Astyanax mexicanus: one gene and its partner. The protein of the gene in region 1 purifies or fractionates together with the protein of each later gene. This does not show direct contact. Links are inferred from orthologs where the notes say so. Each region holds a gene or a part of one and is shown in the gene's direction. Other genes may lie near its edges.

Evidence for each region. The genes of interacting proteins can lie anywhere in the genome.
Region 2: the proteins of wdr19 (region 1) and ift122 purify together in Homo sapiens (affinity purification with mass spectrometry; 4 studies listed by BioGRID and IntAct, counting the BioPlex papers as one, with this or other methods). This does not show direct contact. The link is inferred for Astyanax mexicanus from reciprocal best matches to the Homo sapiens genes WDR19 and IFT122.

The regions. Positions count from the first base shown.
Region 1 is NC_064432.1:8,207,356-8,211,110, reverse strand, and holds the start of wdr19 (WD repeat-containing protein 19), read left to right. Parts: upstream 1-1,497; 5' UTR 1,498-1,582; coding exon 1,583-1,588; intron 1,589-3,360; coding exon 3,361-3,452; intron 3,453-3,575; coding exon 3,576-3,641; intron 3,642-3,755. UniProt on the Homo sapiens protein: As component of the IFT complex A (IFT-A), a complex required for retrograde ciliary transport and entry into cilia of G protein-coupled receptors (GPCRs), it is involved in cilia function and/or assembly.
Region 2 is NC_064419.1:15,112,414-15,116,168, reverse strand, and holds the start of ift122 (intraflagellar transport protein 122 homolog), read left to right. Parts: upstream 1-836; 5' UTR 837-936; coding exon 937-995; intron 996-2,279; coding exon 2,280-2,346; intron 2,347-2,898; coding exon 2,899-2,983; intron 2,984-3,214; coding exon 3,215-3,293; intron 3,294-3,755. UniProt on the Homo sapiens protein: As a component of the IFT complex A (IFT-A), a complex required for retrograde ciliary transport and entry into cilia of G protein-coupled receptors (GPCRs), it is required in ciliogenesis and ciliary protein trafficking.

The DNA.
Region 1 (3,755 bases):
CTTTTCTATGTCTGATCTGTCCAGTTTTTAACTGTAATTTTTTACATATTTTTCTGCATTTGTTATTTCTGCTTGTCTGAAATGTACTGATAACTCTTGTGTAAATAAATATGAGCATCGATTCTGGTGGTTTTAAATGTTCTGGTGTTTTTTTTTTTATATTAAATATTTTAAAAAGTAGTTAAAGTGGCCTTCAAAAGTATTCATACTCATTCATTGAGCTTTTTTTCACATTTTGCCACCTTATAAACACAAACGTAAATGTGTGTGTATATATAAAAATCTTCCCAATTTACAAGACCAATTACCCAACCCACTCATTTGGACCCTATCACTAGTGATGCCCCAACACCAGGAGGGTGAAGTCTAACATGCCTCCTCCAATACATGTGAGGTCAGACTCTCTTTTCAAACTGCTGCTGATGCATCATTGACCAGTAGCATCGTAGTGACTTGGTTCCGATACATCAGCTCACAGACGCAAACATGTGCTGATCCACATCACCCTTTGGAGTGATGAGGGGAAAGAGCGCCATCTACACACCTAGAGAGAGCAAGGACAACTGTGTTTTCTTGGGGGTCCTGCAGCTGATAATAAGCTGCATGATCAGGATTCGAACCAGCAGTGTCCTGATCATAGTGGTAGCACCTTAGTCCACTGGACCACTCTGCGCCCGTGCAAATGGTTTTTATTGAGATTTTAAGTGATGGACCAGCACAAAGTAGCACATAATTAGGAAGTGGAATAAAAACAATACTTTTTTTTTTGACATGCAAAAGTAATCAGCCCTCTTTACTCAGAAACCCATAAAATCTCAATTAAATAATTTTTTAATACAGGTTTGTGGTTGTAAGGTGACAAAATGTGAAAAAAATTCCAAGGGGTATGAATACTTTTGCAAGCCACTGTACTAGCCTAGTTAGCTAATTGAAGGTAACACTTTACAATAAGGGTCACAAATAACAGTTTTTACAACAGGATTAAGATAAAGATCTTTTTGAAGGTATTAACTAAATATGACATTTAGCTACGGAACGTTAGACAAACACCTGAAAGATCCTGCCGATTTTGATACACGGATTGTTATTCCACCCAATATTGATTTGAACGCTCTGCATCTTTTTTTTTATTTCAGCCATTTCTTATTTTCTGCAAATAAATGCTCTAAATGACGATATTTTTTTGTTTGAGATTTGAAAGAATTGTCCGTAGTTTATAGAATAAAACAACAGTGTTCATTTTACTCAAACATAAACCAATAAATAGCAAAATCGGAGAAACTGATTCAGAAACCAGTTTATATGTATTACATAACTAAATAATATAAATAATAATCATTAAAATCATTTTTATTTATTTATAACTAATAACACGTGTTTTGTATTTATTGAATTGCTATATTGTGAATTTTATCAAAGTAATAAACAAATAAGTAAACATAAACGCCGTTGGTTGCTGGGCAGCGTTCAGGGCACGGGATTGGTCGTTGCTAAGGGCGGTCGCTAAGGCAGGAGCGGACGCCTCAGCGCGGGGCATTGTGGGAAGGAGAGAAGTTGTGTATTGGCTGTATCTGGAGGCAGCATGAAGGTATTTAATGTTATTAAACTCGCGGTCTGTGATTATAATGAGCTGCTGGGTTTATTTAACTGTTTATCTCTCAGCGCGGAGTTTCAGCGCGGCTTAGTTTTAACTCGCTACCGGTTACCGCTGTATCTGCAGCTCCGCTAGCCTAGCCTGCTAACTCTCAATAACCCCGAGCTCCCATACACGAGCCAGCAGCGCTCGAGCTCCTACATACAAGCTAAACACCTACAGAAACAATAACACAGCGCTACGAGTTTAAACATTTAGCCCGTTTTCTCCCCTCTTTTCTCTATCTCCTTTTATCTGTTTCTCTTCATCTCCTCTATGTTTCTCCTCCTCTCTCGTTCTCCTCACTCTTTTTCCTTCATTCTATTTCTCCTATCCTGTTCTCTGTATTTCCTCTTCTCTTTACTGTTTTTCACATTCTGTTTCTCCTCCTATTATCTGTTTCTTCTCTCCCCTGTTTTTCCTCTTCTGCCTCTCTGCTTCTCTGTTTCTCCTCTCTTATTCTCGGTTTCTCCTCCTCTGTTTCTTCTCTCCTCTTCTGTTTCTCTTCTCCTATTATCTGTTTCTCCTCCTGCACTCTTCTCCTATTCTCTTTATCCTCTTAAATTATGTTTCTCCTCTGTTTCTCCTCCTCCCTCATTCTCCTCAGTCTTTCTCCTCTCTCTGTTTCTCATATTCTGTTACTCCTCCTTCTCTGTTTCTTTTCCCCTCTTCTCTGTTTCTCTTCTGCTATTTTCTGTTTTTTCTTTCCTCTTTTTTTCTCTTCGCTTATTATCCGTTTCTCCTATTCTGCTCTTCTCCTATTCTCTGTTTCTCTTCTTCTATGTACTATTTCTCCTTTCATATTCTCTTTCTTCTCTCATGTTCTGTTTTTCCTCTCCTGTTTTCTGTTTCTCATCTCATGTTCTCTGTTTCTCCTCTCCTATTCTCTCTTTCTCCTCCTCTCCTTTCTGACTCCTCTCTCTCCTCTATCCTTCTCCTCTCTATCTTCTATTCTGTTTCTCCTCTCTTCTCTATCTCCTATTTTATCTCCTTCCCTTTTCTGTTTCTCACCTCCTCTCTTTCTCCTCTCTTTTAATCTCCTCTAATTCCACTCCTCACCTATCCTATTCTGTTTCTCTTCTCATCTCCTTTCATTCTCCTTTTGCCTCTGTGTCTCCTCTCCTATTCTGTTTCTAGTCTCTTTCTCTCTTCTATTTTCTGTATAAATTCTTTTCTTTTCTATTCTCTGTTTCTCCTTTCTTTCTTATCTTCTGTATTTTCTCCCCTTTGTCTCTATTCTTTTTCCCCTGCTATCTTCTCTTCTCTGTTTCTCTTTTCTTCTTTGTCTCTCTGTCTCTCCTGTTTCTCCTCTTCTCTCCTATTCTGTTTCTCCTCTCTTCTCATATCCTCTGTTTCTCCTTTTCTCTGTTCCTTCTCTCCCCTTCTCTTTCTGCTGTCATCTCCTCTTCTCCATTTTTCCTTCTCTTCTTCTATTTTTTGTTTCACCTCTCATCACCTCTTCTCTGTTTCTCATCCTCATTTCTCATTCTCTCCTCTCCTGTTTCTTCTCTTTTCTCATCTTTTCTTCTTTGTTTCCTTCTTTGTTTCTTTGTTCCTCCCCTTCTCTCCTATTATTTTTCTCCTTTCTTCTAATCTCTTCTCATTTGTTTCTCATCTCTTCTCATCTCCTCACCCCTGTTTTTCCTCTCCTTTTCTTCTCCTATTCTCTCCTGTTTCTCCTCTTTTCTCCTCTTCTAATCTGTTTCTCCTCTCCTCTGTTTCTCCAGAGAGTCTTCACCCTGTCGGAGAAGGGCTGGAGCGGCTCGGCTCTGCAGTACAGATGGCAGAAAGCTCTGGGGAATTATCTGGCTGTTGCAGGGTAAGATCAGTTGTAGCTGTTTGTATGTTGTATGTAGGTCATGTTTTTATTCTATTTTTATACAGTTTTATACATTTGTATTGTTTCTATACTATTTTTATTCACTTACTGTTTTATGAGCAGCCCCGACAACTCGGTCAAGATATTCGACCGTCATGGACAGAAGATGAACGAACTCAGTCTACCTGGGTCAGTACAAGCACTCTTACAGTACCAGTCCTCTTCTGATTTTATGATTTATGAGTTATGATTTTTTTTTTAAGATTGTTAATTTAATATTGAAGACATTAAAGCTATACAGGA
Region 2 (3,755 bases), on another chromosome or scaffold:
AGAACTCACTTTATTTAATTCAAAACAAACATTAAAAAATCAATGAAAACACTAAACAATCTGTGATTTTTCCTTTTGTACCATATCCCTATTTTATTTTTCATTACTTATAGTTAAAATGTTTCTATCTGTAAAAGTTAATAAATATATAATTTAAAAAATATGCCTATTATGCTAATAAATTTCATACAAAAATATAACAAAAATATTAGTTAGTTAGTTAGTAATTAATACATTTCCTTATTATTATTTCTTTTGATTATTCAAATACAAATAAGACAACAAATTGTTGTTTTCAAAGAAGACATACATGTATCACATATATCTAAGTGATTACGTCAATTTTAAATGATTTGATACAGTCTGTAATGTAAAGAAAGAGCAGAAAGTGGAGTACAAAAACATAAATTATCTTAAGCAGAGACCTATAGCTTGTTAGCTAGCTATGTTAGCTACAATTGTAGATAGAATTTAAGATAATAAAATTACATACAGGGTTTTTGTTTTGCAAGGTAACTACATGTCCATAAAAAAATCTGGGATTTTAACAGTGTAACTCTACATTTATGAATTAAGTCATTTATTTTCCTGAAAGTACCAAAACTTTTTTATAGCATCGAGTACAGACTGTGTACAATTTTTATCACAACATAAAAGAAAAAAAACATAGAATCATTTATATCGCCACATTGTTAAAGTATATATATATATATATATAATACATTTTAAGTTAATAATATTTTATAAGTAATCTCTCTCCAGAAACATGAAGGAATATTTTAAGTGTGCTCAGCAAATTTTCTAAACATGGGTAGCGGGTCCTCAGAACTTTTATTTTGACGGGGTGACGGCAGAGCTCCGTCCGTATTACACCGGAGACCTGTTGATATCGCCACAAAGCGAATTTTAACGAAATATTTAGCATTAAAAACAACGATGCGAGCTGTTCCCACATGGATAGATAAAGTACACGACCGGGATAAGGTTGAGCAGTGGTGAGACTCGCTGGTTTATAAACTGCTGGCTTTGTTTGTGTGAATTTTGATCAGTGGATGTGGTTAGCAACGGCGGTTACTATGTAAACCACTGGAGGGGTTTGTCAATATTAGCTTACTAGCTTATATTGGCTATGTGGCTAAGCTAACGATATCTACATAAATTTGTAAAGCGAAATATGTCGTTTGTGTAGTATTTAGCAGCCTGGCGGTGCAGCAGCAGGGTATTTTCTCTGGTTTCTGCTGTTGTTAAGTTGCAATACTGGATAAAACACAACCTAGCTTATTTAGCTTAGCTAACCAGCGTTAACAACCCTAACGGTTTAACCTAGCTTAAGCTAGCCTTTCATTTTAACTAGTTCATGTAAAAGTAACTTAGCTAGATTACCAAAGCAGTGTCGGTAACGTTAATGTTTACTGACAAACCAAAAACATATTTACGCGTCTGAATTAAGCATTTTAAACAAAGCAGGGCATAGCTGTAGGTGTATGAGAAATAATGTGTAGCTCATAGGTTTGCCACTCGTCCCGTAAAACACAGAATCGTCCTTTATTTGGCAATTAAATGTTGTTAATTAAATGTGGTTTGTTCGGTAACGTTATTTCCATAAATGTCCAAAACACATGTCTAACACACAGGTTCTGTTACAAAGTCAAATTAATGATTCATTCATTTAATATACAGCAGTATTAGCCAAAATAAGTATTATATATGGTCATATAAAGAACAAATCATACTAATGGATTAACAGTTAAATAAATAAATAAACAAATACATAAATTAACTTCATTTGAGAGAAAACCTTTATTGTAGAGCTTTCTCTGTATTTTGTATCAAAATGTTTGTATTTTTGGGGAATACAGTCTTCAGTGATTATTACATAAGTTATATTATTACAGTGGTGTAACTATGCACAAAAATATTCTACCGCATAACAAATTGTAAAATAATAATAATAATAATAAAAATAATAAATTGAAATTAAAATAAAGTGTATGTATATAAAACATACCACTGCTGCTGGCACCATGCCACACAGAAGTTGAGGAGCCATGTTTGTTTGTTGTTTATTTCTGATAGGTGGCAACTCTAGTAGTTAACTAGCTAGGTTAGCTTGCAGGCCAGTCTGTCTATTCTGTGGTTGTGTGATTCTGTAAATTTGTCATAAACTAAACTGCAACAAGCCAACATAAACTAATCTGAATAAACAAGCCAACATAAACTGATCTGAATTAAAAACGGAATCTCTTTGATGTATTGCTTTGTCTTCCTCTGTGTGGCAGCATTTATGACCTGGCGTTCAAACCAGATGGCAGTCAGCTCATAGTGGCAGCTGGAAACAGAGTGCTGGTATGTGGTGCTTCTTTTATGAAAGGATTTTTAGTTGTTTATAAATTCTAAGCTAATTTATTTAAGCTACATTGTACAAATGTCTGTAAACATCTCATCCAACTTTAAAAAAAAAAATCTAGGGTATAATTATAGAAATAAATGTGTTCTGAATCAAAAACATGCCATATAGCCCACCCTCAACTTGGTCAATATAAATAGATAAATGTTTTGTTATATTTATTAAGGTAAGTCAACAAAATCAAACAAACAAAATATTGAAAAACATGGCAAGTTATTCTGTAAGGAAAAAAAAAAAAACAGTAAAAGAAATTCTGTATATTTTGACAAAAGTACAGAAATTACAGTACCAGGGACACTGTCTAATTCAGTGTTTTTCTTTAGTTTGTTTTCTACATACTGGTTTATTTAATACTTTTTGTTTACTAAATAATTCTGCATGTCTTCTTGTATAGCTTTAATATAGTCTTCAATATTAAATTTACAATATTATTGGTGGATTTTGTTCTGAGTTTAGTTAAAATGTTAAAACATAAAACAAATCTGCTGCAGGTTTACGATACAGCTGATGGGACCCTTATCCAGCCACTTAAAGGCCATAAAGACACTGTGTACTGTGTGGCTTACGCTAAGGATGGTAAGTTTATTAATACTTAATAATACTTATTAATACTATTTTGGGCTCGGTTTCTCAAATGCTTTGTCTACTTAACTGACAGAAAAAGTATTTAGTGTGATGCTCTCTTTGACATTAGTATTGATCTGGATTTTGAGAGACATATCTCTATATATGTGCAGCGTATGATGCCACTGTCAGTATTTTTTATTCTTGATATAACTTCTCAGAACTTTTCTTCTCTTTGGTCAGGAAAGCGTTTTGCATCTGGCTCTGCAGACAAAAGCATCATTATCTGGACCTCAAAACTGGAGGGCATTCTCAAATACACGTGAGTTTGTGCTACTTTAATGTGATTTATGGTTATGGGGATTGCTATCATAACCACAATTGCTGCTTTATTTCTCACTTTACACTATTAATGGTGTTGTACTTACCACTTATAATCACCAGAGCAACACCAAAGCAACCACCTGGAATGCTTTAGGGCAACCATCTTACATCTAAAAACACCATAGAAACCACCTGGAAAACCAACACATAGCAACAACCTACCCAACTATTTTTTCTGTTTTTAGCTACAGTGCATCAGCGAGCTGGAATTCATTACAGGAAACCCTAAAACCCAGCTCGCTGGTGTCACTAAATCATTTTAAACTTTTAATATCTAACCATCCTCAGACAGCCTGTAACTTATTTAAAATTATTTTGTCTTTTTATTTATCTAATTTTATGTTTTACAAGTAAGCACTTTTATTTTATTTATTTTATTCATTTCATCCTTTTATTTGTT